Struthio camelus: one gene and its partners. The protein of the gene in region 3 interacts with the protein of the main gene of each other region in a pairwise test. Links are inferred from orthologs where the notes say so. Each region holds a gene or a part of one and is shown on either strand. Other genes may lie near its edges. The genes, in order: KLC3, RAD51D, CEP57L1 and KATNAL1.

The links.
Region 1: the proteins of CEP57L1 (region 3) and KLC3 interact in binary tests that used the Homo sapiens proteins (3 or more experiments, as listed by UniProt). The two-hybrid records come from large-scale screens. The link is inferred for Struthio camelus from reciprocal best matches to the Homo sapiens genes CEP57L1 and KLC3.
Region 2: the proteins of CEP57L1 (region 3) and RAD51D interact in binary tests that used the Homo sapiens proteins (3 or more experiments, as listed by UniProt). The two-hybrid records come from large-scale screens. The link is inferred for Struthio camelus from reciprocal best matches to the Homo sapiens genes CEP57L1 and RAD51D.
Region 4: the proteins of CEP57L1 (region 3) and KATNAL1 interact in binary tests that used the Homo sapiens proteins (3 or more experiments, as listed by UniProt). The two-hybrid records come from large-scale screens. The link is inferred for Struthio camelus from reciprocal best matches to the Homo sapiens genes CEP57L1 and KATNAL1.

What each region holds. Positions count from the first base shown.
Region 1 is NC_090957.1:1,405,638-1,413,317, forward strand, and holds the start of KLC3 (kinesin light chain 3), read right to left. Parts: upstream 3,016-7,680; 5' UTR 3,006-3,015; coding exon 2,986-3,005; intron 1,071-2,985; coding exon 830-1,070; intron 1-829. UniProt on the Homo sapiens protein: Kinesin is a microtubule-associated force-producing protein that may play a role in organelle transport. Plays a role during spermiogenesis in the development of the sperm tail midpiece and in the normal function of spermatozoa.
Region 2 is NC_090957.1:14,879,338-14,886,667, reverse strand, and holds the start of RAD51D (DNA repair protein RAD51 homolog 4), read right to left. Parts: upstream 3,014-7,330; 5' UTR 2,977-3,013; coding exon 2,895-2,976; intron 2,088-2,894; coding exon 2,026-2,087; intron 1,662-2,025; coding exon 1,543-1,661; intron 685-1,542; coding exon 603-684; intron 1-602. Other genes in the region: UNC45B (protein unc-45 homolog B), read left to right, coding at 4,621-4,712, 5,575-5,617, 6,240-6,401, 7,122-7,158. UniProt on the Homo sapiens protein: Involved in the homologous recombination repair (HRR) pathway of double-stranded DNA breaks arising during DNA replication or induced by DNA-damaging agents. Bind to single-stranded DNA (ssDNA) and has DNA-dependent ATPase activity.
Region 3 is NC_090944.1:59,945,188-59,952,055, forward strand, and holds the start of CEP57L1 (centrosomal protein CEP57L1), read left to right. Parts: upstream 1-3,864; 5' UTR 3,865-4,007; intron 4,008-6,868. Other genes in the region: SESN1 (sestrin-1), read right to left, coding at 2,862-3,311. UniProt on the Homo sapiens protein: Centrosomal protein which may be required for microtubule attachment to centrosomes.
Region 4 is NC_090942.1:199,542,167-199,549,186, reverse strand, and holds the start of KATNAL1 (katanin p60 ATPase-containing subunit A-like 1), read right to left. Parts: upstream 3,016-7,020; 5' UTR 467-3,015; intron 100-466; exon of another isoform or gene 1-99. UniProt on the Homo sapiens protein: Regulates microtubule dynamics in Sertoli cells, a process that is essential for spermiogenesis and male fertility. Severs microtubules in an ATP-dependent manner, promoting rapid reorganization of cellular microtubule arrays.

The DNA of each region.
Region 1 (7,680 bases), on a different chromosome or scaffold from region 3:
GAGGGAGGGTGTCGGGCACGGATGGGGCACCTGGCACCTGCTCTAGCACCCAGCTCTGGCTCCAGCACCCATCCAGGCTCCAGCACCTGGCTCTAGCACCCAGCACCTAGCTGTAGCACCCAGCATCCATCCCAGCTCTAGCACCCAGCACTTGGATCTAGCACCCAGCTCTGGCTCTAGCACCCATCCCAGCTCTAGCACCCAGCTCTGGTACCCAGTACCCATCCCAGCTCCAGTGCCCAGCTCTAGCACCCACCACTCGGCTCTAGCACCCATCTCAGCTCCAGCACTTGGCTCTAGCACCCAGCTCTGGTACCCAGCACCCATCCCAGCTCTAGCACTTGGCTCTAGCACCCAGCTCTGGTACCCAGCACCCATCCCAGCTCTAGCACTTGGCTCTAGCACCCAGCTCTGGTACCCCGCACCCATCCCAGCTCTAGCACCCAGCTCTGGTACCCAGCACCCATCCCAGCTCCAGCACTTGGCTCTAGCACCCACCACTTGGCTCTAGCACCCATCCCAGCTCCAGCACTTGACTCTAGCACCCAGCTCTGGTACCCAGCACCCATCCCAGCTCTAGCACCCAGCTCTGGTACCCAGCACCCATCCCAGCTCCAGCACCCAACTCTAGCACCCAGCACTCAGCTCTAGTACCCAGCACCCATCCCAGCTCCGGTATCCAGCTCTAGCATCCAACTCCAGCACCTGTCCCAGCTCTAGCACCCAGCTCTGGCTCCGGCACCCACCCTGGCTCCAGCAGCCAGCGCCGTCCCAGCAGCCCACCTCTAGCACCTAACACCCACCCAGCACCCACCCGCCCGCCGCGTACCTCCGCTTCGTCCAGGCCCAGCTCGATGCCGTCAAGCGAGCGCCGCGCCAGCTCCCGCTTCTCGGCCAGCAGCTCCGGGGTGTCGCAGGGTGCCCCCGGCTCCAGCACCCGCAGCAGCTGGCGGCTCTCGGTGCGCAGCGCCTCCAGCCCCTTCACCACCTGCCGGGTGCCCGTCACCAGGGCGTCGGGTGCCGGGCGGCCCGCCGGGTCCCCGCCGGGTGCTGCCATGGGGCTGTCGAGCCTGCGGGAGCGGAGGGGTGGGAGGGGGTCACCGCGCTGCAGGGATGGGTGCTGAGATGGGCACGGGTGGCCGGGCTGGGCATGGGTGCTGCTTTTGGGCACAGGCGTCATGCATGGGTGTCATGCATGGGTGCCATGCACGGGTGACATCCATGGGTGCCATGCACAGGTGTCAGAGCCAGGCATGGATGTCACGCATGGGTGCTGGGCATGGGTGCCATGCACAGGTGCCAGTGGTGGGCATGGGTGTCAGGCACGGGTGCTGTAGGCGGGTATGGGTGCTGGGCTTGGATCCCATGCACGGGTGCCGAAGCCAGGCATGGATGTCTCTTATGGGTGCTGGGCACAGGTGCCAGAGGTGGGCACGGGGGTCAGGCATGGGTGCTGGGCACGGGTGCTGGAGCTGGGCAAGGGTGCCATGCATGCGTGTCAGAAGCAGGCATGGGTGCCATGCACGGGTGCCGGGCACGGGTGCCAGAGGTGGGCATGGGTGACATGCACAGGTGACATGCACGGATGCCAGAGGTGGGCATGGGTGTCATGCACGGGTGTCATGCACGGGTGCTGGAGGCAGACATGGGTGCTGGCCCTGGATGCACGGGTGCCAGAGCCAGCCATGGATATCTTGCACGGGTGCAGGCACGGGTGCCAGAGCCGGGCAGAGGAGCCTGCACCCAGCAGGGGTGCGGTGCCCCGGGGCGGCTCTGCCCGGGTGATGCGGCCAGCGTGCCCACGCTCGCCCACGGGCGCCACGTGCAAAGGCCTCGTGCACCCACGCCCCAGCTCACGTGCGCCCACCTTGGCCCACACGTGCAGCCTGGTTTTGCACACGTATGTGCACGCGCAATGCCCCCCTCCCCCAGCCCAGCCACCTGGCCTGGCACCATCTCCAGGCTTGCACGCTCGCGTGCATACTCTCAGCCCTCGCCCGGGGCTTTGCACAAACCCGGCTTTGTGTCACCCATGTTGCACTTGTGCGTGCACACAAAACCTCGACTTTGCATTCGCATGTGTGCACACAAGCTAGCTTTGCACACACAATCACACGCCCGGGCGTGCACAACTGGGCTTTGCACACACAACCTGCCTTTGCACTCACGCGTGCATGCCCCACCTGGTTTTGCAATGGTGCACGCGCACTAAAACCGGGCTTTGCACTCGCACGTGCACGCCACCAGGCTTTGCACGCGCATGTGCCTGTACGACTGGGCTTTGCACGCACAACCCAGCTTCGCACGCCCACGGGCCCACACACCCGGGCTTTGTGGGCAGAGGCACATGCGTGTGCCCCCCCCCCACTTTGCACGTGTGTGCGCGTGCAAACGCAACCCCCCCCTTCTTGCACACCGGTGATCACACCCGCCCCCACCTTTTGCGCACCCTTGCACGCCCGCGTGCACGCGCCCCCTCCCGTGCACGCGCCCCGCCCCACCCCCGGCAAGCGCATGCGCACACGCGCCCATCCCCCTTGCACGCGCGCCCCCCTCCCTTCGCAGTCGTGCGCATGCGCACGCGCCCCTCCCCGGCCCCCCCTCCCGGCCCCCCCCGCGCGCATGCGCACGCGACCATCCACAGCCCCCCGCCCCTCCCGCGCGCATGCGCCGTGGGTCCCCCCGCCCCGCCCCGCCCCGCCCCGCCCCGCGCGCGCCCCCCGGCCCGGCCCCACCGGCGGTGGCGGCACCGGGCGGAGCCCCCCGGTCGGCTCGGGCCGAGCCAGCGCAGCGCACCGGGAGCGGGAGAGCCCGACGCCCCCCCCCCCAACCCGCTCCCGGACCGGACCCCCCCCACACACACACACACCTCTTCCCCCAAAACCGGACACCCCCTCCCACCTTCAAAACCGGTATCTTCCCTCCCCACCCCCCCCCCGGGAGCGAAACCGGCGGCCCCGGCTCGAACCGGCCGCCCGTACGCACCTGCCGCCGGGCTCCGGCATCGCCGCCTCCCCCCCCTCCCGCCCCTCGGCCACCGCCGCTCACCTGCGGCCGCCGCCGCCCCACAATGCCCCGCGCGCCGCCCCCGCCGCCGCCATCTTGGGCCGCCTCAGCGGGAGCGGGGGGCGCCCTGAGGCGGCCCCGGGAGAGGGGGGGGCACCGCCGGGGTTAGGGGGCACCCCAAGGACAAGGGGACCCCCCCAGTGCTATGGGGCACCCTATTGGCACCCCCGTCCCACCCTGGGGGGCTCCGGACCCCCCCCCGCCCACCCCAGGGGCACCCAGACCCCCCCATACCCACCCTGGGGGGCTCCAGACCACCCCCTGCCCACTTCAGGGGCACCCAGACCCCCCCCATACCCACCTTGGGGGGCTCTGGACCCCCCCCGCCCACCCCAGGGGCACCCAGACCCCCCCATACCCACCCTGGGGGGCTGCAGGACTTCCCAATGCCCACCCTGGGGTCACCCATACCCACCCTGGGGAGCTCCAGACCCCCCCGTGCCCACCCTGGGGTCACCCAGACCTCCCCATACCCACCCTGTGGGGGTTCCAGGCCCCCCCATGCCCATTCTGGCGTCACCTAGACCCCCCCATACACACCCTGGGGACACCCAGACAGCCCCCCCACGTACACTCCGGGGGTACCGAGGTGTCCCTCACCCCCCCCACCCTGCCATGGGTGCAGGTGCCCTGCCCTGCCTGGGGGGGCACCCACAGCCCAACATCCCCCCCCACCATAGCACGGGGAGGGGGGCTCGCCCACCCCTGGGTGCCTGGGGCCACCCGGCGGGGGGTACCCCACTCCCTGCCTCGGTTTCCCCCGCAGGGCCCCATGCGGGGTGGTGGGTGCCCTCACAGTGTCCCCGCCGCCTGGCCCTCCCGGTCCCCCCGTGGGGGTCCCCAGCACCCGCTTCCCCCCCGCCCCACCGCCCGGCCCGACACCGGATCCCCGCGGGTAACCGGACCCGGCCTAAAAATACCGGGTGGGGAGGGGGGGGGAGGCTCGTCCCCGGCTAGAATTGCCCTGATCCAGCGGATCCTTCCCCAGGGTCACGGCACCCGCTGGGTGTCCCCAGCACCCTGACCTCCCCCCCCAACCCAGCACCCACAGCAGGGACCCCACGCCCTGGGGGTGTGGGTGACATGGGGGACGGGGCGCTGCTGGCACCCTCCGCGGCTATTTTGGGCGTGGGGATGGCTTGTGCCACCCACCGGTGGCCTCCCCGGCCTGGGGACGGGGGTGCCACCGTGTCCCCAAGGGGCACCCGTGGACCTGGCGCTGGGGGAGGTGAGGGGGGAGACCCTTGTGGCCGGCCTCTCCTCACCTGGGTCTCCCCCTCTCTCTCCATCCCTCTCTCCATCTATCCCTGCCTCCATCTCCCCTCTCCCGCCACCGTTCCTCCATCCCTCCTTCCATCTCCCCATCCCTCTCTCCCTCTATCCTCTCTGTTCATCCATCTCTCCATCCCTCCTCCATCTCTCCATCCCTCCTTCCATCTCCCCATCCCTCTCTCCCTCTATCCTCTCTGTTCATCCATCTCTCCATCCCTCCTCCATCTCTCCATCCCTCCTTCCATCTCCCCATCCCTCTCTCCCTCTATCCTCTCTGTTCATCCATCTCTCCATCCCTCCTCCATCTCTCCATCCCTCTCTCCCTCTAGCCTCTCTGTTCATCCCTCCATCTCTCTCTCCATCCCTCCATCCTCTTTTCATCACGCCACCCATCCCTCTCATCCACCGCCACCTCCTGCCATCCTTCTCCCTCCCTCCTACACCTCCCTCCATCTCCTCTACCCCTCCGCTGCTCCCTCATCCGTCCCACCATCCCTCTCTCCCTGCCTCCGTCCCTCTCCCTTCCTCCCTCCATCCCTTCCTCTCTTCCTCCATCTCCTCCTGCCATCTCTTCTCCTCCCTCCCTCTCGCCATCCCTCCCACGCTCTGCCCGGCCCTCTCTCCTTTCCCTTCTCTCTCCCTCCATTTCCTCTCTCCATCCCGCCCTCCCTCCACCCTCTCCCCGTCCCGCACCCACATCCGCGTGTGCGAGGAGGGGGCGCAGCGGGCAAGGACCGGGGTGCGGGAGGTGGAACAGCGAGCCCTGTGCAGGGTGCCGGGTGCCCACGCAAGGTGCAGGGTGCCCATGCAAGGTGCAGGACACCTATGAAAGGTGCAGGGTGCCCATGTTGGGTGCAGAACACCCACTCAAGGTGCAGGACACCCATGTAAGGCACAGGGTGTCCATGCAGGGTGTAGGACACCTGTGCAAGGTGCAGGGTGCCCATGTAGGGTGCAGAACACCCATGCAAGGCACAGGGTGCCCATGTGGGGTGCAGGACACCTGTGCAAGGTGCAGGGTGCCCATGCAAGGCGCAGGGTGCCCATGTGGGGTGCAGAACACCCATGCAAGGTGCAGGACACCCATGCAAGGCACAGGGTGCCCATGTGGGGTGCAGGACACCCATGCAAGGTGCAGGGTGCCCATGCAAAGCACAGGGTGCCCATGTGGGGTGCAGGACACCCATGTGGGGTGCAGGACACCCATGCAAGGCACAGGGTGCCCATGTAGGGTGCAAGCTGCCCATGTGGGGTGCAGGACACCCATGCAAGGTGCAGGACACCCATGCAAAGCAGAGGGTGCCCATGTGGGGTGCAGGACACCCATGCAAGGTGCAGGACACCCATGCAAGGCACAGGGTGCCCATGTGGGGTGCAGGACACCCATGCAAGGTGCAGGGTGCCCATGCAAAGCACAGGGTGCCCATGTGGGGTGCAGGACACCCATGTGGGGTGCAGGACGCCCATGCAAGGTGCAGGACACCCATGCAAGGCACAGGGTGCCCATGTGGGGTGCAGGACACCCATGCAAGGTGCAGGGTGCCCATGCAAAGCACAGGGTGCCCATGTGGGGTGCAGGACACCCATGTGGGGTGCAGGACGCCCATGCAAGGCTCAGGGTGCCCATGTAGGGTGCAAGCTGCCCATGTGGGGTGCAGGACACCCATGCAAGGTGCAGGACACCCATGCAAAGCAGAGGGTGCCCATGTGGGGTGCAGGACACCCATGCAAGGCACAGGGTGCCCATGTGGGGTGCAGGACACCCATGTGGGGTGCAGGACACCCATGCAAGGCACAGGGTGCCCATGTAGGGTGCAAGCTGCCCATGTGGGGTGCAGGACACCCATGCAAGGTGCAGGACACCCATGCAAAGCAGAGGGTGCCCATGTGGGGTGCAGGACACCCATGCAAGGTGCAGGACACCCATGCAAGGCACAGGGTGCCCATGTAGGGTGCAGGACACCCATGCAAGGTGCAGGGTGCCCATGCAAAGCACAGGGTGCCCATGTGGGGTGCAGGACACCCATGTGGGGTGCAGGACGCCCATGCAAGGCTCAGGGTGCCCATGTAGGGTGCAAGCTGCCCATGTGGGGTGCAGGACGCCCATGCAAGGTGCAGGGTGCCCATGTAGGGTGCAGGGCACCCATGCAAGGCACAGGACACCCATGGAAGGCACAGGGCGCCGTGCAAGGGCGCGCGTGCGAGGGCCGGACGCAGCGGGCGCCTGGCTGGCCCAGCGCCCGGCCCCACCTCGCGGCCGTATTTCAGGGCCGGGCAGCTGCCGGGCAGGGTGCCCGCTGGCCACCCGCCGCCGCTGAGGCCTGACCCGCTCGGTGCAGGGGGGGCCTGGAGGGTCCCGGTGAGGCCGGGCCCATCGCACCGGGGCTGCCTGGGGCCCTTCTGCCCTCCCTGGGCCTGGTTTTACCCCCCTGGTCTTGGTTCCGCCCCTTGGTCTTGGTTTTGCCCCCTAGGCTCAGTTTTACCCTCCCCAAACCCCGGGTTTGGTTTTGCACCCCCCGGTCCTGGTTTTAACCCCCTGGGGTCGGTTTTCCCCCCCCGACCCTCGTCCCAGCTTTACCTCCCTAGTCCCGGTTTTGCCCCCCCCCCCCCGCCCGGTCCAGCTCGATGTAACCCAGTGGCGGGTGGTACCGGCCCCCCCCGGTACCCCCCGGTGTCCCGGGACCCCCCGATGTGCCGGACCCCCTGGTGCTCCGGGACCTCCCCCGTTTCCTGGACCACCCCGGTGCCCCGGACCCTCCGGTGGCCCCGGACCCCCCGGTACCCCCCGGGGGCGGGCCGAGGCGGGGGGGCGGCGCGGCCTCGGGGCTATAAAGGCCGGTGCCCGGCCCCGCTCCCCGCCGCCGCCGCCGCTGCCGGTCCGACCCCTCCGACCCGACCCGACCCGACCCGACCCGACCCGACCCGTTCGTCCGCGCCGCTCAGGTAACCCCGCGGCACCGGCACCGGTACCGGCACCGGACCTCTCCGGTGCTGAACCGAACCGGGCCGGAGCCCTCCGGTATCGACCCGAGCCGGGTCCGACCCCGCCGGTGCCGAACCGAGCCGGGTCTGGCCGAACCGGACCCCTCCGGTACCGGCCGGATTGCACCCCCGCCGGTGCTGAACCGAGCCGGGTCTGCCCGGACCGGACCGGACCCCTCCGGTACCGGCCGGATTGGACCCCGCCGGTGCTGAACCGAGCCGGGTCTGCCCGGACCGGACCGGACCCCTCCGGTACCGGCCGGATTGGACCCCGCCGGTGCTGAACCGAGCCGGGTCTGCCCGGACCGGACCGGACCCCTCCGGTACCGGCCGGATTGGACCCCGCCGGTGCTGAACCGA
Region 2 (7,330 bases), on a different chromosome or scaffold from region 3:
GCAGCCAGAACCAGCAGAAGTCTGGTTTCAAGCCTCCTGCCAGGGCTGCCCTGTGCTCTGGGAAAGGCTGAAGGCTGATGGAGGAGACAAAGCCAGTGCCTGCCCACAGCCTGTTTTCCCAGTGCTTTCCTCTTATCTGCACCCCATGCAAGCTGAAAGGGCCAACGATTGCCAGTGGCAAAATTGCTCCGACGGCCTCACAGCCAAGGCAGCCACCTGCAGCAGCAGGGTCCTTCACCACAGGAGCTACCAAGCTGGAAAGAATAAAGACTTCCTCTGTTCAAAAGGTCACACCAGCCTCACACCCCAGGTTTGGATCAGGTCCCTCCTTCCTGTGCCTGAAAGCCTGCAATGTAGGAGACCAGCATAGGGAGAAGGTGGGAACAGATGGGTTTTGCCAAAAGCTGACAATAGCTTTTTTCCCCCCTCCTCCTTGTGTTCTCATTAGAAACCATCCAATTAACCAAAGGTAGGATGGGGTGAGTCCAGGTTGTGTCCTTAAATATAGATTGCAGCATGGGTCCAGGGAGAAGTCACCTTCCTCATGCACTGTAGCATCATTTTCATCATACCTGTCCACTGCCCTCCTCTGTCCTGCTCACCTGTGTCTTCCCACTGCCAGGCGCTCCCATGAGCTCTGTCACTTCCCCTGTGTACAGCCCAGAGTCCAGCAGCTTGTCCAAACTAAGGGTTGAACACAAGGGTGGAACTATTTACACACCTTCAGGCAGAAGGGCAAGGGCATTGGGAAGCAGCAATCCCCAGTTATTCATCCCTACAGAGGTCCCTTTCCAACTGCAGATGAGTGGCCCAGACTCTGCTCCTTCCCCCCTTCCCCTGGGTCTCTCCACATTCTGGAGAGCAGCAGAAGGCCTGCAGTGTCATGTATAAGAGGACAGTCCTGAAGAGGAGAAGAACTGTGGTCTGAGAGCTCTCAAGTTGTGAACACCCCAGATTTCTCTGCACAGTCACTGCAACCACTCGGTGAGGCAACTGGAGAAAGGGAGAAATAAGTCACAGAAGAAGAGCACAACTTATTTCTGTGCCTGATCTAGATAATTTGGACCATCATCACTCAACCCTCCTCACAAGTCTATAATCCTCCTCTCTAGAGCGCTAAGGAAAGGGTGAAGGGAGCATGTCATCTAGCCTAGAAGTCAGACATGCTAATCACTTTCCAGGAGAGGTACAGGCTCTCAGGAGGACAACAGCAATGCCATTCCCTCAAGGGGCACAGACTGACTTGAGTTTGCAGCCATGGTTTGGGCAGGATATGAAGAATAAATGTCTTCGTTCTCATCCTAGCACCGCAGAGAGGGCTTCAAGGTGGAGGAGAGGCTGAGACCATAGGCAGGAGAGCTGCAGCAGCTCCACGAAGGAGCGCTGGCCATAGCACCCCAGGTCCGTTCCACCCTCGTCCCATCTCACCCTGCACAGTGCTTGAAGCACCACCTGGCTGAAACCCAAAGCCCAGGCTGGACTGTCTTTCCACAGAGAGTTTCCCACAGCCAGACCTGTTTGCACCCTGGGCAATGTACCCACCTGGCAATCCCAGTGGACAAGATGGCCGTGGAGCTCTTGAGCTCCTCATAGAGGTCTGCTCCATTGGCAGGGAAGGCCGAGAACTGGGCCAGGAGCACGCGCCTCACAGCAACCAGAGCCTGGTGGGCAGAGAGACATCTGAAAAGGCAGTTGAGGAAGTCTTGGGCTAGGGCAGTGCAGGGACAACACAAAACAAACGGTCTCCATTGCCCTGGGCAACTGTGGGTCCCACACGCTCCAGCAACCCACCCAGCGATATAGGGTGCTGATAGCACAGTCCCCATTCACAGCTTGGGCTCTTAAGCACAGTAGTAAAATACTGAGCGCTCAGCACAAGGCTGACTAACACAGAGCCAAGCACAACAGAGAAACCAATGACACAGGAGAATCAGAAGGTCCCTGTGGACAAGTCTGACCAAGCACTGAGTTGAACAGCTCTGAGCTCCCAGGTTAACGTAACAGGACTTACAAGTCTCCCTTTACCTTGTAAGACAGGGAACACTTCTGAGCAATGTCCTCCAGGTCTGACGATACAAAGTCCACCACTGCAAATAACATGAAGAACAAGAAGTTGGAGGCCAAACCATAACAGACCATCAACACCAAAAAGCTGATCAGCTCCTGCAGGAAATATCACCCTGAGACTGCAGGATGACCACATGCTTGGACAAAATCTACCTTTAGGCACTGACAGCTAAAACATTCCTGTGCCTCGGCCGATGCTCTGACCAGGTGAGCAGGATGCCCCGCGAAGTGGGACAATGGGGTTTTTCCTCTGAGGTGGCACTGGCATCACATGAGCCCCATCCATTAAGTTCATTGCAAAATGAATTAGGGAGAGGCTAATAAAAAATACTCCCTAGTTGTGCTCAAGAGCTGCCCAGGACCATTTGATAGCTAGAGTCAGCCAAGACAGGGCAGTTCTGCTAGTGCAGCAGAGCCTGTCTCAAGGGGCTAACGACTGACTCAAAGTGCCAGCTCAGGACATGCAGAGAAAGGCAAAAGTCACAGAAATTAGGGAAGAACTACTAGCCCATTTCTGCCCCAGGAGCCACTTTAAGATTTCTTTCTTAATTGAAACATGTACATTAGGCATTAAAAAATAGTAAAAGGCAGTTCTCACGGGGAAGAGGAGGATTATAGCATCCGTGGCTTGGGCACTCACAGGCTCTCGACCCAAGGCTCCCTTTAACAAGGATAAAGCGCTTCATCCTTTATCAGAGCCAGCAAAGAGCCCACCTGGAGCCCACCGGCAGCGGGGCCTGGCCCAGAGCGCTGGCAGCTACGAGGGAAAAAACACACGCAAAACCCTCAAACGCCTTTTAAGAGCCGCGCCCGGCGCGGCCGCTCACCCGTCCGGACGCCGCCCGCCCCGAGGAGCCGGATCGTCTCCGCGCCGAGGCCGGGGCAGAGCCCGGCCCGCAGCAGCGCCATGGCCCCGGCCGGCCCCGCTCCGCCCCGCCCCCGCGGCCGCCCCCGCTCCGGCCCCGCTCCGCCCCCGCGGCCCTTCCTGCTTCCCGCGGAGCCGCGCGGCAGCGGCCCGCTCACACCCCCGCCTAGCGGCTGCGCTCAGCCGGGCGCCAGCCCGCTTCAAAACGCGGAGCCCGACTTGAAAACCCCTCCTGCTTGAAAAGCAGGGTGACCCGAGCAGCGAAGGAAAGCAGAAATACCTCCACCTCCACCTCCCTGACCCCACCAGCCCCAGCAGGGGAGGCTCCAGCTGGCCCTAAAGGGCTGCTAGCACAGGTGACAGCGACGCCCTGGCTCCCAGGCCCTACACCACCCACCCCCACAAGAGCTGGGTGTTTTTGGGGGAGGGGGGTAAATGCTACTGGTGGGGGTAATGTTGGAGGAGTGTGTATTAGAGATTGGGGCAAGCATGTTTAAAAGTTAGTTTTAAAAGGGAGTTTGGTTTAAAAGGTAGGAGGCAGAAGTGAGGCTACTGTAGTCTTGCCTTGTAGAGTGCTTTGTGCTTCTGGGCAGAGCTTATTCCTCTCTTAAAAGTAAAGCTCACTTCTGGAGCTGCCTCTGGCTGTGATCTGAGCTCCTGTCTGCCCGAGCAGGCAGGGAGGACCTCTGTCAGGTGCTGTGCCAAGAGCTGTGAGTGTGGTGGGGCAGGCTGAAGGCCTCTCGCAGGAGCAGAGCTGCTGTGGTGTCCCAGTGCTTGCTGGAAGAACAGGTATGCACACAGGGGTGAAACTTTGGCTCTTAACCTCCAGGGGCTCTTGCAGAGAAGGGTCTGTGCTCTGTGTCCTGTTCAGCTACCCTAAACTTGCATTAGGGCTTTGGGGGTAACTCCAGGAAGGATCAAATGCAGCTCTGCACCAAGGAGCTGGTCTTCAGTTAACTGCCCCATTGAACCGAAGTGTGATACCGGCGTGCCTGGTACGGTGCACAGCTACTCCCGTGGCCCAACTGCTTCTCTAGAGATGCTGAAGTTCATTTTGGTGGTTTTGGGAGGGCAACTTAAACACTGAATGTCCTGCCTTTTCTTCTGCAAAACCTCCTATCAGAACACAGCTCGAAGCCGCGAGGTGAGGTGGGATCCGAGGCCGGAACGTGGCAGGAGCCGCTCGCGCGCCGATGGGCCTGGCAGGGTCGCTCCAGGCTGCTGCCTGAGCAGCAACAGCTCCTCCACACAGCTGGCTGCTGCCCTCCTTGTCCCCCGGCGATGAATTTCCCCAGGAAAAAATGCTTTTTTGCTTTCCCGGGTGAGGCCTCCAGAGGGCTCCCAGGGTTTGTGGCTGCACGTCGGTGCTGTGCAACTGCTGTCGTCCGCTTCGGCAACGGCACAACCTGGGGAGCTGCAGACCGCGGCCGCTCTGTCTCGAGCATAGGTAGCATCAGACAAAACTTTATTTTGTAACTTAATGTGTTTGAAGTACCTCCAGTATTGCTGCTGGTGAAAATGAAGCCTTTATCTGGGATAACTTAAGATATCCTGGATAACTTGCTATATGCCACAGGAATTACTGGAATGAAGAAAGCTGACCCTTCTCCCACACCTAAAGCAATACGAGGAGGTGCTTCCAACGTGTTAGTCAAAGCAGGCCCTGGAAAAGCTGTGGTGCCAACTCGATGCGTGGCGGAAGTGGCTTCTTCCGCCCTCCAAGAGGTGGTGTCTCTGCAGGCCCCGTGGATCCATCGCTGCGCTGCTCTGCTCTCAGAAGGTGAGGGCCTGAAACTTCTCCGCAAGGGGACGTGATGCAGAGACCTTCAAACCTCGTTGCGACCCCCTCCGGTACAGCTAACAGGGACAGAGTGGCGCTAGTTGGTAGACGTTGAAGGAGCTAGACGTGAGCTGATGTAGCTCGAGGACTGCTGGACAAAGCAGTCTTGTGCCAATTCTTTCTGCGTAAGACCCATAAGCTGTGACACAGAACACCAGCACTAAACGTAACCTAATTTTTTTCTTGGCAGGGCCCTAGAACGGAGCACATCCCCTGGCATAGCTCAGCTCTGCTCCATTGGAGCAACAGAGCAGTTACCAACCTGCCCCTGCTTCCCTCGGTCAATAGTTTCCCCAGTCCTGTTGCCAGTTCCCCCATCCGTTCTGTAGCTGGGACGCTGGCGGTCGCACTTAGGAGCTCGTGGCCTGCGTGTTGGAGGAGATCAGGCTGCAAAGCAAAATTCCCGATGCTCCGTGGCCTGAAAAATATGTAGGTTTGAAAGGCTCAGCTCTGATCTGGAGGAGTTCAGCAGTTCTCTCTCCTGGCCTGCGTCGCTCAAACTGAGACCTGAGGCTCTCGTTGCAGCAATGGGCCAATGCGCTCTGGGCCAGACCTTTGTGCTGGACTGCGCCCAGAGGGCTGCGAAACGGAGAGGAGGAGGCAGCACTGCGTGCGAATCAACTTTCTTTCCCAGCGCCTTCTGGAAGGTGCTGGGCGCTGCTGCAGCTGCCGGCCTGGGGCCATTTGCTCTGGCAGCTCAGCTGTCTCCCGCTTCCTTAAATAGAAAAGGGTCTGAGCACTGGGCTGGGGGTCAACTCTCCTGGCTGTTTTTTTTTTTTTTTTTTTTTTTTTTTTTTGGCAGGACCCTCCTCTTCCTGCACCCCCTGCCCGGCGCTGCTCCGCAGGTACGGCAGCGCTGAGGTTTGGTTCGGCGGCGGGGACGGGTTTCCTGCTGGCTGCGGAAAGACGCTTCGCTGGGGCGGGCAGGTGCCCCCGGAGCCGGGCCGGTCGCGGGTGCCCTGGCGTGCAGCCCCCCCTGGGGTGCTATATAGCAGGGGGAGAGGTGGGGACAGGCTGCGGTGACAGGCGACGCTGACGGGCCCCAGGAGCTGCCGGGTCCTGCCCAAACTTGGAGCGGGAGGTGAGGGAGATGGGCTCTTTCCCAGCTGTCCAGACCGTCCGCGGCGCCTGCTGACTTCGGAAACTTTTTTCTTTTATTAATTGACCCTGGAGGATCTGCAACGCCAGGAAAAACTTTTGGGAAGCCACAGCCTGGAGGAGCAATTTGGGCCTTGGTGTTTTTGAAGGCTTCAGTCCAGTAACCTGCTTTTATTGAAGTGCGTGTTAGTTAAATGTCGGGATCAGAGCGCAGCTTGGCTTGATGGCCAGACTCACCCGAGGGAGTACGCCAGCGACCCTGTCGTACGGGAGGCTGCAAACGGAAGGGGCACAAACTGATATATATATTTTTTTAAATTCCCAGGCAGGCTAAAATTTGCATCTTTTTTCCCCCCCTCTCCTCTCCAGATGGAGGATCCCATCCAGCTGAAAGAGGAGGGCAATAAATATTTTCAGGCCAGCGATTATGAGAAAGCCATTCAAAGCTACACTCAGGCCATAAAGCTCAACAAGGACAAGGCGCTGCAGGCGGTGCTGTACAGGAACAGGGCGGCGTGTTTCCTGAAAAAGGTGAGAGAGGGGCTCCCGGCTTGCCCGGGTGGTGCTGGCCTGGGGCAGGAGGGGAGCGAGAGCCGGGATGCAGGAGCAGGGCGGCAGCCGAGGATGCTCGGCAGCGATCAGCTGTGCTGTTAATAAAACCCTGAGAGATGGGGACCAGCAGCCGGAGGTCGCGGGGGTTGCTGGAGCACAGGCAATGGTTTACGGAGCATGGGCTCAAATCTGTTCCTCCCTTTGCTGTGCGAGCCTGGCATCCCCACGGCCAGCCGGCCTCGTGCAGGCGCTCCCTGGAGATTTCCAGGCGGTGGCGGCACTGTGTGAATAGCAAGAGAAAATAGGTGCTTTTCCAAGTCGCGTCTCAGCAGGAGCAAAGCTCACGCTGCGCAGGATGTGTCCCCCTCAGATGCTGCTGGGGGCAGAGGAGACTCCATGGTTTGGGTGCAGAGGCTTCTCTCCCGCTTGCCTTTTCCAGCATAAGAGAAGCAGGCATGGATCTTAGCGCAAAAAGAAAAGTTATTAGAATCTGTAGCAAAACCACCTCAGCTCCCTGAAGACCTGCCATGGGATTTCAGATCGCTTACGTGTTCCTGAAAAAGCGTGTTACTTTTCGTTTCTCGTGGCGTCTGATTAGTAAGTGGGAATAGAGAGGTCACGGTGTGCATCGGTAACGTGGATATATCCTGCTAATCGACTGCCCTGCTAACGAATCGTCCTTCCTTCCTGACTCGACAGGAGGAATACGTCAAGGCAGCCTCGGATGCGTCTCGAGGTAAGGAGGAGGCTGCTTGCAAGAAGTGAGCTGTGCTTGTGGGTATGCTCCCTCCAGCCTGCTCTCGCATCTCCTTTTGGGGCCCTGTGGTCTTCCTGCTTCAAATCCACTAATGCCCAAGTGCTTAGCTTGGTTTTGAGGCTACAGGGAAATTAATAGAGAAGATGCAAAG
Region 3 (6,868 bases):
TGATGTCGAGAAAGGATAAATATTCAGGTTACTTAAAGCTTTATCCACTTTCCTGAGATCAGCAAAAATATACGTTCATGCACACACACACACACTCCCCCACATTTTAGCCCACAATAAGAGATCCTGAATACAAGTCAAAGCCACAGGAATCTACATTAAGCAGTAATGTATTTTTTATAGATTCTGATACAGGCAATGCTACTTATTAATCGGAAGCAAAGAAGTAAGTTTGCTTAGGAATTGACTGTATTTTAGAGGAATTTTTCTCTAGAAAAACTCTCTAGAGGTTTTTCTCTAGAGGCATGCTCACAGGGATGCCAAATTAGGGTCCTAAAAAAGGAGCCATGTTGACAGTGGCAGCTGCCAAGTCTGCAACTTACACCAGCCGTATGGTACATTCCACCAACTTGCTCCAGACACACAGCTGCTAAAAAGGCAGCAGCTGACCTGCTCACATCCAAGTATTTCTTGGTCACTTCAACAGTCAAGAGGGCACTAGACCCAGAAGGAAACAGCTACCAGACCATGGGTGGAATTCACATCTTGGATTTCCTCGCTGACCAATCCTGCATGCATAGCGGCAAGATTTAAAAAAAAAAAAAAAAAAGCACATTTCCCAATTCTGCTTCCACAAAGAAGTTCAGTCCAGTCCAGGCTCAGACTATGAGTTTGGGATAGACCATCCCACAGGAGAGGGGTGGTGGACAGCACTGGTTCCCAGGAGAACCTTTAGGTTCAAAGTTGCCTCTTTCTGCCCTGGGCTTTTTGTCCTTTTATGGCTTGGACAGGGAATAAGGTTAAGATAGCAGAGTGGTACATACTACTGTGAACTTAAAGAAAGATTATTTCATATCCTAACACAGGAAGATGAAGTAATACAATGAGTCCTTTAACTACTGATACTATTCTAAACAGGATTTCATTTTATTATAATATTACCAACCTGTTTACCTTTAGAAACCCTGCTAAAACCTGCAAGTTCTACAGAATAAGTACATTTTGCTTAATATTTTGCTTTATCTAACACGTTCATCGCAAAGATTTGAATAAAATTCTTTTTGGCTGTGAAATTAACAGAAAATCATTCCATGTCTGAAAATAGTCCATAGCATCCAAAATGGAATGCTTGGATTGGATTATTTCTTCCATGAATGCTGATCCAAAGATTACAAAAGAATTTGCATTTACGAGTACAATCCTAGGAACTAAAACTTGCCGTTCTCAAGTCAGAAAAGCTGTTAGCTTCTTAGGGAATAGATACAGACAAGATAGAAGGCATACAAAAGCACCTTTTACAGATTTTTTTAAATAATATATTTCTGACTTTCCTTAACTTGTTGCAAGACCTTTCCTGCAGCTCACATACATGTGAATGGTTTCATATTCGTGTAGTTCTTTCACTCTTGTTATTATTAGTCAAGCCAGCTACGGCCATGTGATGTGAACTTGTACTTGCTAAATCAAAACGCAGCGAACTGCAGCTTTCTAGTAGAATTTTTTGGCCTATTTAAAAACGCTACTAACAAAGTTCTTAAACAAGAAAAATAGTTTAGCATGCTAGTAAATTCATGTATGTAAACCTAAAAGGGAGTCAACAGATCACGTAGTCTGCCCTCTTCCATAATTTAGGTCAGAGATCACCACCCATTTGGCCTTTGAATAGACTCTGACAACTTATACTTGATAAAAGTAAGTCTTTTCCTTAGCAGTCTGTTCTAGTGACTCATCATTCTCACTGTAATAGCGTCTTCTCATTTGAATCTCCAACAGGAAAAATGCTGATACAAAGGTGCCAGGTTAAATTATCAACTTAACATTCAACTTTCCTTTTTAAAGTAGTATAATTGTCAAGCCTTCCACATAAACCGTAAACGCAGCATGGTTTTTCTTGGCAAAAAATCTGCTTTGAGAAATGTCCCATTCAGCCCAAACTATATAAATTAAATTATATTGTATGTAAAATTTATCACGCTGCACACAATTGAGAAGTTCTACAAAATAAAATAGAAAAGTGACACTGTATCCTTTGATACAAGTCTATCATCAGAATTTCAAGACCTTACGAACATTTTACATGAGCAAGAAAATTGCAACAAGAGTAACTATACTTAGGCTATAACCGGTGGGGAAGTAAAAAAAATAACAGTTTTCTTAGCATGAAAGGCCAGCAAGTTTAATCTGCTATTGGTTAGATCGCCTACGAGCTTTAAGAAAAATAGTTTGGCTCTTACTATTTCCAGTGGAGAGACTATTTACCAATAAACAACAACAGAAGAAGAATTTTGACAAGCTCTGCTTTAATAGTCTTCAAACGCATCCAGCTCTTATAACATAAAAGCCCCAAAATTCCCATACTGGTTTATATCTTTATTTAGCAGTCTTAAACGTTCATACCCAAATCTTTGGGTGGCCTCCCAGCCAATCTGCTTTTGTATTAAGCGAACTGCTAATATCGCCGCACTGGTAAAGCGGACCAGAACCAGAGACGTACGTTTGTCATTTTAGCACCTCCTTCTGGACGCCCTGGCGTCCCAGCAGTACGCTCACTTTGCAGCGATTCACGGCCAGCGCTCTCACTGGATTTCTTCATGCATTTCCCCTCCCTTTTCACAACTCCTTCCCAAACTTCTCTCCTCTCGTGCGCGTACTGCTGCACAAGCACAGCCGAAGCGCCAGTTCGGGGACCAGGCTCCGCGCTTCGGGCCGCCCCCTCAGCTGCCGCCGGCAAGCGCAGCGCCCCGCTCCCAGCGAGGAGCGGCACCCCGGGCCGCCGGCCGCCTCCCTCCCCACCCGGTGCCCCGCGGCAGCTGCGGAGCGGGCGGCGGGCGCCGCGGGGCTCCCGCCGGGGCCGCGCTTACCTGCACCCTGCCGAGGATGGCCTCGCTCTTCTCCCGCACGTCGCGGAAGGGGCAGCGCTTGGAGAGCATAAGCAGGCGGGCCAGCGCCGCGCTCAGCCCGTCCCGGGCGGCGGCGGGAGCCAGGAGCCCGGCGGCGGCTCGGGCAGGCGCCGCCGCCGCCGCCGCCACGGGCGCGACAGTCTCGCTGCGGCGGAGCACGGCTTGCCCGATGTTGTCCAGGGCGGCGTCGCGGGTAGCGGCGTCGCGGCTGCACAGCCCGTCCCAGCGCACCTCGCCCTCCCGCTCCTCCATGGGGGCCGCTGGCACGCTCCGGCTCCCCCACGGCCGCCTCAGCAGCAGCAGCACCGGCGCGGCCGCCGCATCGCCGAGCCGAGCTGCTCCCGGCACCGGACCCGCCCACAAAGAAAACAAACTCGGCGGCGCGCAGAAAGCGCGGAGCGTGCGCCACATCGGGGGGGGGAGAGGGGGGAGGAGAGCCGAGGGGAGGGGAGGGGAGGGGGACGGGTGGTCACTCCCTCAGCCCCGGCGGGCGCCGCCGCCAACGGCCGCCGCGCCAGCAGCGCCGCTGGGGCTTCGCCTCGCCCGGCCGGGAGCGGGGCAGCCACCACCCCGCGGCGCGGGCAGCTCCTCCTCCCCTGCCCGGGCGTGGAGGGAAAGGGGCCGGGGCGGGCCACAGCCCTGCCTCAGCCGCTCCCTCCCTCCTTCCCGTGGCGGGACAGGGCGTCCCCGCCGAGGCAGGACCGCCTCACACCCCCCCGGCGCATCCCTCCCCGGTAGGGGGAAGGGGGATAGCCCCGCCCAACAAGGCGGAATCCACATGATGGACGTGGCCTCCCAGCCAATCGCTCTTCAGCGTTCGCTACAGGTGGCCCAATCAGAGCGGAGAGTCGCTATCGCAGGAGGGCATGTTGGGACGTGTAGTCTTGCAGCAGGGCGACTCTGCGTCTCCCCCCCCCCCCCCCCAGAGGCGAAACTACGCGCCCCAGGAGGCAACGCGCGCAGGGGCGGCCGGCGCCGTGACCTGCCCGGAGCGGCGCCGGGACCTCGGCCGGGGCTGGGCAGGGTCCTAGGCCTGGGCTGGCGAGTGAGCCGGGGGGGCTGCGGTGGGGTCAGCCGTGTGTTTTGAAGGAAACGCGTAACCTCTAGGTAAGGGAGACAGTTTAGATAGTCATTTCTACCCTCCCCCCCCCTTGATTTTCTCTACAGGCGTGTGGCAGATTTCTCAAACGAAAAAAAAAAAAAAAGGTGTCCTTTATTACTTGCGACAGCAAGTCCTGGGGGTAAATTTACTTTAGGAATTTGCATTGGCCAAAAAATAAACGCACACGTGTTTTAAGCAATCACAAAAGCTTGTCAAATGTACACTTCAGCAGAAGCCTTTGGTACAGGCTAAGTAAACACGTCCACACGAGGGAAAAAAGCAGCCCATGCAAGTGAAATTCAGTGCCTTCAAATCTGAAAACAAAACCACAGAAAAATCTCTTTAATGTTAAACTTAGGCAACAGTTCCACAGTTTGTTAATCCAAGGTAAGTGCCAACTGCTACCAAGTGAGATGTTCTTGCTGCTTCCCTGGCCTTATTTTTCCCTTTTTGCAGAAAATAGATGCTTTTTTTTTTTTTGATCATGTCCAGCTAAGTCAGTTCCCTGATCCAATCCACCTCTTGGCTGCATGATTACTAAGGCTGGCAAAGAAGAGGCGAGGGAAACGTGTAGACATGGGCAGCATTACACGTTTTCAGCTCTCAACTTAAAGCAATCATGCAACCACAATTTCAGGTATACTGAAATCAAAAAGCCTACTTGCAAGTAAATAAGGAACAGGACATTGGGTCTATGTGGTCTTGCATAATTATTTGACGTTTATCATGCACAGGTTTCCTGCTGTAAAATTGAAAACCCAAAACCAAAGTTAAATACAGAACAAGCTACTTGCCTACTATGGAAAAGCACAGAATTGGCTTCTGATTTCTGGGAAGAAGACTTGGGCTGGCTCACAAAAACTAGCCTTCCGCAAAACTCTTTTATTTGCAGAGAGTTCGATGTCTTCATCTGACTGACATTCCTTTTGTTTTCTGGCATAGTTTCTCAGAAGCTTGCAAGATAGGTGTCCTTCTGTCATTACCTGTACCTTTCGAGGAAGACCAATCTCTTTTTAATTTTCCCATCCCTCCTGTAAGAAAAGCCATTCTGCAATGAATTTGAGTTACCATTGTTTGGTAGCGTGAACAGGCCTGGACTGCTTCGTGCAGGTGCTTCCTCTAGGCCTTTGGCACCGTTGTGAGCAATATATCTACCCAAGTCATCGCTGCTGTAATAAATGTGAGTCTTCACTAAGCACCTAAGGCCTCCTCCCATCGTAACTGGTGCGTTCAAAGAACATACCACTGCCAGTGCCTTTTGTATTCTCTTCTTTTTTATATTAGCTACCACTTTGGTTTCCTGTCCTGTTCTGTTGTCACTCATTGTGGGTCTCCCCACAGTGTGCGTCTGTTCCTATGAAAAGGCCTGTCACATATGCTTGCTTTATTTCTGTCTCAATTTTAATCTTCAGGAGTTGGATATATCTCATTTTTCCTATGACAAGTTTACACTTGCTGGATGTCTCTGACAATGCATAACATACATACACTAGAGATCAATACTAAACAGAATCAAAACAGAAGTGTTGATGTCTGACTTTAATATGGCTATATTCCCACACTGAATGGTAAGATGGATTGAAAGTCATAGCACTGCCTTTTATCTTTTAGAAGTTGTTTTTTCCACTGGCTGCAAATGAACTCTTGGTACAGGAAACAGATTGTGAAACTGGCTCCAAGGCCTAAACTCCAGATTTCAGCTCTTTGTTTTATAGGTTTTAGTGTAGCACTTTGGTAATGGAGATGAAGGTGGCTTTATTTTTTTTCAAATCAAATCTCTGCAGTTTTCCGATACTGGGTCAAACTTCTGTATGTACTGCAAGACTTCGTGGAAATCAAGGTCAAAGGCTACTAGCAGAATTAATCAGAGCCTGAAGTTAAGGGAGTGTATTTGTTTCATTTGTGCGTTCACTGACTGAAGTTAATATGGTTGTTTTGATTCCGAAAGAATGGGTAAGAGAAAAGCAGGATTACGAAGGAAACAATCTGTCAACTCATCCAGAATTACAGCATTTGAGTTTTTTAACTCAGCTGATAAGCTGAAGTAAAACAATTTTGTAACTGATTTAAGTCTCAGTATTTCCTTCCTTGATTATTTATCAACTTCCCTCTTTTTTAATTAGAAAGGACTTTTATAGCTGTATGCAAATTATATCCAACTGCAAAATTATTTTTTTGAAAATATAAAGTAATTCCATTCATGTCATTTTCTCTTCTTCCTCTGGTATAAATAAGAGCTAAACTGTATTTCATTTACTTTTAAAAGTTTTTCCCAGTTTCGGTATGTCACAAGAGAGCTCTTTACTGGAGAGTTCACTTAGTCAATTACTGGAGAACTAGTAATAACACAGTAAAACTTGTGCACCTTGGCATAAACTGCTTTTTCCTTCGAATGCTTTCATTTACACCCATTTTGTTAAAGCTTACTTCACTGAAACTAGCAAATATGTAGGGAGAGATCTCTCTCTTCTAAACCTACACCCTCCTCTTCCTTTCGGATCTGGGTTTTGGCTTCTTGCCACAGTATCTGGGCACTTCACAGTATTTAATGCCTTTTTCTTCACAGTAGACCTCTGAGGAAACAAACTTCTGTGACTCCTGTTTTACAGAGAGACACCAGAAACCCAGAGGCTACTTCTGTACTGTCTTTGAACTGAGGCCCAGCCTTGGTGTCAAGCCCAGATTCATGTATCATCCTAACAAACTGGCCTGACTGATCGAGAAAGCCCCAGAATAAGGTGTGGGAGAAAACTTGGGCTTGTTTTACTTCTCAGCACATGCCTGTACATCTGCAATCTGGTCTGGCCTAGTGTGGGCTGGGTAGGCACATCTGAACCAACCTCTGCCGCCCTGCCTCATTAGAGGA
Region 4 (7,020 bases), on a different chromosome or scaffold from region 3:
CGCGCGCGCGCGCGCGGCGGCGGCAACGGCCGGTTGCCATGGCGGCGGCGGCGGAGCGCGGGGAGGGACGGCGTAGCCGCGGCGCAGCATCCCGCTACCCCGCCCCCGCCGCGAGGCCGCAGCTGCGAGGCGGGGGCGCGGCCGTTGGTGGGGGAGGGGCGGGGCGCGCCCCACCCGCCCGTGGGGAGCTCGGCCCCGGCCGCGCCCAGGGCGGGCGCTGAGGGCACCCGGTGCCCGGCACCCCTGCCGAGGGCTGGCCGGCCGGCCGGCCGGCGGCGTGGCCTCGCCTTCAAAGCGCTGTCCCTTCCCAAGAGGGGCCCTAGGTGCCGTCCCCACGGGGGTGACCCCGGAGCTGCACCCGCGGAGGCTTCTTCCACATGCGCTTTCGTGGGTCCCCAGAGGGAGTCGGAGATTTTTTTCCTTTGTTTGTTTTTCTGGAGAGAGAGAAGAACAGACGAGTCCTGACCTTTCTCGAACGTGTGAAGGGCCTTCCACTGCCTGGATGCGTAGGCAGAAAACTCGCACCTTCTCCCTCAAGAGTTTCCGTGACCTTGTCCTGGCGGAGGGAAAGGGTGTGGTTTCTCCAGCGAGCTTCAAACAAAGGAAAAGCTCTTCACATCTTCATCTTTGAGGATGGCGATGGGTGTTGCAAGCCCCCTGCCCCCCCCCCCCCCGTTTCCACTGTTAAGCCTACATTTTAGGAATCCTTAGAATAATTTCTGTTAAAATTACTGGCTTGAGTTAAGAAAGAGAGCCTCGCCCTTTCAGTCCATTAAGAAAAGACCCACAGTTAAAAGTGGCACTCTCCCTTTCAAAGGAGGAAAGTGTAAGCCTTAGAAGTGATAAAACACCACAGCATGCAGATACGCTTCTGAACCAGCCGAACTGCAGTTCCAGCAGTTTTCTATGGTTACCATTTTTTTTTAGGTTTTATTTATTTAAGTTTTAATGGATTTTCACATACACAATACAAAACTCATCTCTTCCCACTTCAGCTGTGGGAGTGACTAGAAAAGGCAAAATATGCAGTTGTCCTCTGTATGGGCACACAGAGACTTGATACACATTTTGCTAGCAGATGTCATGGCTTTCATATAAGAACTGAACACATAAGATTTTTGGGATTCCCATTTTCCCATTTTTTTGGGAGCCAGGTGATACGTGGTGGTCACAGGCAGCCTAATCAAAGAAAAGCACCCAGTTTATGTTATTGCCAAGAATGGATATTACCTAGCATTTCTGAAGCAAGCATCTCATACGTAAGATAAACGGTTGGGTCTCTTATAAAGGAAACAATAAGTCTCTCAAAGGATATGATTTCACAATTAATGTGAGTCAGTCAGTGTCCTTATTGCTACCAAAAGGGACAGTCCTGCCTTCTTCTCTGATCCTGGCTATGCTTTCCTGTGACTTACACAGCAGTAATGCTCAAGTCACTATCTGGTAAGGTAGGTCTAGGGTCTGAACCATCTGAAAGCTGGGTATACCTCTCCAAAAAAAAAAACCAAACAGTTTTTAGCAGAATCAATTCCTGAATTAGTTGACCCCACAAAGCTGCATCGGGCCCCAGGAAGACAGAGGGAACATGTGATGGAGGCAGGATTAGCCCAGTGAGATCCCAACAGATTTGAGCTGTGTTTCCGTGTGCACCAACACCACTTCAATGGCTCTGTGCCACTTGTGACAACTCTGAGACTTTCCCAGTAATGACCATGTGGTAGCTCCCTATAATGACATGTAACTTAACTGGAAAACGTAAACGTTAGTTACCTTGACGTAGCAGCATTAGGTGGTACTTCACAAAAAGGGCCTCAGAAATGCTAACTAACATAAGTGAAAGAGCAAGGATTGAAGCTAAGAGCTTAGTACGCCTCTTAAATAATGCAGCATGTGTGTATGTGTCACTCACATATATGCGCATGTCTTGCTTCCCTCAAAATCACGTGGAGATTTTTCTGCCTTTGTGAGCCCCTCTGGCTTCCCCCTTTTCCAGACTTCTCCATACTTGCCTGCTGAAGGCATGATTCCTCCTGGTTTTCCACATACCCAAAAGCAAAGATGCTATGCAGATCTTAGAGAGCCTAAGGCTTCTTAGGGCCAACAGATTGCAAGCAGCCTGTCCCTTGCACCACCGTAATATCTCTTCCCACAAGACTGTATACCTCCTATCACTTTAGCCAACACATGAACTGATTTGTCTGAGGATCAGATCCCTCAGCTAGGAAATTGTGACACAGAGAAGTAAGGTTGGCTGTTCAGTCATAACCTCTGGTTTTTTTCTTCTTTCCATGGGCTGCTTCCTCGTGACATAGGGTAACCATATTCCCATTGACTTCCAATTGAAAAGCAGTTGCTTACAGTCATAGCAATACCTGTCTCACTCTAGTTGGACTCCTCAGAGGGAAAGTTTGATTCAGAAAGCATGATCTACACAATTTGCCAAGATCTAATAAGTAACTATAACTTAAAAGTAAGCAGCAGGAAAAGAACCAGCTCTCCAGACTGCTAACCCTGTATACTACGCATACATAAGGATCACAGGGTAGTTCCTGTTGGAAGGGACCCCAGGAGGTCCTCTAGGCCAGCCTCCTGCTCTTTCTCACTGTAAAGCTCATAATTATACTACTATGTGGTTTTTGATCATGAGAAGGGACAACTGGAGGAGAAAGGACTAACAGGCCTATAGAAGTTCATAAACTTGTTAATGAGGAGAAAGACAGTAGATTTGCGCATGCCATTTCATAGCCTTTTGTATTGCTATGGTCAGATGAACTCCAGGAAATGTGGCTGGAGTGATGTAAGATATATTACTTCCCTAATTATTTGTTCTACCTCTCTGCTGAAGGTTTCTGCCTCCACAACAGTCCCTGGAATGGAAAACACTCCTGTCTCTAATCCATTTTATTACAAAAACTGGCATTAAACTCATCCTTATCAGCAATTTAAGTTAATTTGCTGGACCTCATATTGAAGCAGCCGAGAGTCATGCACATATTTCATTCCACCAACTCTGCTGTGAGGCAGTAATCTCAGGCAAAGAGAAGGTAAGAAATCCTTGGGAGAGGTGACACTTTAAACCACTGAAACTTGTTCTACTATGAATATATTCTCTCCCATGGATTACTTTTTTTTTTCTTTTTGACAGAAGACCTAAACCTAGCAGTTCTGGATAAGACATGATGTTGGTGGGTGTCAGAGGCTGTGGTTAGACAGGCTCCAGCTGTGTTGGTAGAGGAGGGCATTACTCGCAGCCAAACCCCAGAGACTTAACATGCCCCTTCCCAGAGGCCTGTAATTCTGCCCGCAGAGCTGGCATTGTGTGCCCTCTCTCTCCAATTTATTCTATGAATTTAGTCAGTTCAATCAGAAGCTGATATAAATTAGCGTAACTCTTTTGCCATGAACATCTGAATTGGTTCAAAAGTATCTCTTAAGCCACAGTAATTGCAGACACTGTCAGCCATGTTTTAAGCTAGCCACACTTAGGGTCTGTGTCAGATTAACAAAACTGGTTTCTAAATTGATTTGGTTATTATTGCATAAATTCCATAGACTGTATCTAACTCAGATGGCTGGCACGGGCATTTAGCGCTGTAGCAGGGAGCTTCATTCGTAGCCTCCTCCCACACAAAGTTCTGCAAGAGAAGACTGAAAGCACATGAGATACTTGTGAATTATGAACTGCCCTCTGCTTTTGTCATCGCTTCCCCTTGCAATTATATTTAATTGGGCCATAGGAATTATTCTGCCTTTGTAGTAATCTTTAATACTCAAATGCAAACATAAGTCTATACCAAAGGTCTTACAGACAACATTGAGAAATGCTTTAATAATTGGAGGTGAAAAGCAATAGAGAAACAATAGGGAAAAGAAGGAGCATGTTACATAATCATGGTCATTAACCTCCCAAGAGAAGTTATGCACAACTTAGTAAAGGCATATTACTTTGTAAACATGCATAGTAATTGGTCTGCCTAGGTATTTTTATTGTATGGTATTTATTAGTATGACACATCCACCATTTTTTATCCTCGAAGAGAACTTTAAAGTCTGAACCTTAAGAAATTTTGACAAAGTGGCAACACAGAAGGATTTAGTTGACATCTTTCACACAAGCTACTTCTCAAAATTCTGTAGGCTGGTAATAAAGACTCTTTCAAGGCAGAGCAGTTGATTTTCAGATGAGATTTCAATTAAACCAGAAAGTCAGCATAGGGCTGGCCGCAAGCTATTGTATTTTTCCAGTCAAAGATAGACATCTGTTACGTAGACTTGTGCATCTGAATTAGGCTTCCTCTAGATTTTCTTCATGGTAGAGAGAGAGAGGTACTTCAGGGATATAGTTCCCCCTTTGACCAAGGGGGACTGTGCCCTGAATGTGCTTTTTTTTTTTCCTAATATTTATAGAAGGTGATCATTGTAAATAGCAGTTTCTGCAGTGCAGATGCCTAAAGGTGGGTGAGAGGAGTCCCACCTAAGATGTTTGTTGCATGGTTGGAGCCATAGAGAGAAATAGTTGTCACGACACTTACGGCCTCTTAGATTAAAATGATGAAGAGGCCAATGCCAGATTAATGGAAAGAACAGGTAGAAGAGAAGGTAGATCTTTGACATGGCTTGAAGCAAGTCCACAGTGGGTTGAAAAAATAATAGCTCTGCTTTGAGTCTTTTGACAGAAATTAGAAGAATTACTAGAAACTAAGGTGTCATATTTCTTTTTTCTATACACTTAATATACAGAAGCGTTTTGCATCTGCTGGAGTGTTACTGTTCAGAGAAGGAATAAGAAAGTAGCTTACAGTAGTCCAAACAGAAAGGAAGGCTTGGAAAGAAACCTCAGAGAAAGTGGAGTCAGCAGTTGTTACATGAAAACTGGAACAGGAAAAGAAAAGTTCATTCACATCATCCCAGTCCTGTGGCAGGTCATCAGATAGTATAAAGTGGCAGAGCTCCGTTAATATGATGTGTTTGCTAGAATTGACAGCTAAGAAGAAATCTCCTGTGATACACAAGAGAATTAAGTGAGAAAGGTTTGGCAATATAACTCTTTCATGGTAGGGTGTGGATTTTAGGCTGGTTTGCTAAAGATGTGACACTTCTGGAATTGCATGCAGTCTTTCCCACGGCAGTCATTTCGAACCTCATTGGCTAATTTCAGGCACATCTGACAAAAGGTTGGAAGTTGTTATAATAATTGAGTTCCTTTTAGTTTAGTAGTAAGTGGCAGGATACAAAAGATGGGCCTTGCTGTTGCCCCAATGGAGCACAAGGTGGGGAGAACTTAGCTGTTAAATGGTTCATCTGGCAACAGGCTGGCCAATCTGCATGCAAAAAATGACTGACTGCCCTCACTGCTACTTGCTGCACCTACTTCTGAGCACAGCTGCAGTGTCATATGTGACACACAGGCTGCTTTATATATTGCAGTGGTGAGGGCTAAGGGGAAATGGATACACAACTGTAGGATACTAGGCTTCAGTAGTTTGAACCAAGCAGTTGTATCAATGCAGCCTGTTACCTGGCATAGCCAAAAATTTAAGTCGTGCTGGTATATGTTAGTGGCCTTTGCTTATAGATACGTTTCTGACTTAAAGTGTCAGTTTCGAATATAAGAGCTATTGTGCAGCTTTTTGCGCAGTTTAGATGCCCAAACCATTAGATTAAACAAAGCTCAGTCTATTACATATTAATAGCTTGCCCACCATTTTAGATTTCCTAGGCATCCTAGCTCCAATTCTGCAGTGTGAGATACTAGAAGGTGAACTGACTTTAACAGTCCACTCCTGTAAACACAGTCATCCAGAATAGAAGTCAGTTATATTTAAAGAGCGCTTCTTAACGTATCATAATCCTTTCCAGGATTGTGTTGAACAGTCCTTTGAATAGTGCTATGATCAATGGCAATGAAGGTAGTCATATTTGAAGGAAGATGCAGTGAAAATCTGTGTGCTGGTATATACTTAAAAAGCAAGAGTGCAAGTCAGGAGTGAGGAGGTAAGCACACTGGTGGCCATGCATCTGTATTAGAAGAACAATTTCTGTCATTTATAGATAAATTCTAAAACTTCAGTCCCTGCATGTGTATAAAGGTCTGAGTAAACACGGGCAATACACTAAATGGCAAGAAATAACTACAAATGAAAGTGTAGCCAAAGTGCCTAATGAAAACCTACAAAAATATTTAAGAAGAACAAGAAGGTTAAATAATATGGTGGTGATCATTGTGAATTCCCTTTCTTTTCTCTTTCTGGTCCTCTGATGTGATAACTATAGGGTATATGCAGTGGTTTCCATGTGAACAACTTAATCTGGTTCCCATTACGAGTGTAAAATTGGGAATCTTTTTTTAACTTTAAATTTGGATTGTATTTGGAAGATGTGCATTTGTTAATTTTTTCGTGCATCTAATAAATGAGCAACACAATAGTGTCATAACAGTGTGTCAGTAGCACAGAAAACAGCATCTCATAAAAGAACAAACATTGGCATAATAGCTTTGGTTAAACATATTTTAAATTTTTATAACATCCCATTCACATTCTCTGGGGAAATACTGCCTACGTTTAGCATCTAACTTGGATGCCTAAATTAGGAGGCTCGTCTCCCTAGATGCCTTGCATAGTCTAAGAGAGAGAGAGGTTCCTCCAGGGAGCAATTCAGACTATGTAAGCTAGGCTTCTGCTCTGAATTATCATCTGGAGGAGCCTCTTCAGCTTTGAATGCTGTTCTGTGCTATTCTTTGCATCTTGTCCTCGGCAACAAAAGTGACTTAACAGGTCCTCGCCCCTCAGCGCTTGTTCTTGCCCTCTGCTTTTGCTTATCACTCTGTCGTTTGTGCAGGTACAGCTGTTTATGTGGTGGCACTGTAAACTGGGTTGGTGAAATGATCTGGATTAAATAGGATCCTGTGAAATAAAGTGTTAGTTTTACCCTAGATCACATCTCTGTCAGGTTTATGGTGTGACCTTGTAAACAGTTACACCTGCCTATTTGAGGAAGTGAAGAGCTTTAGCAAGAGAC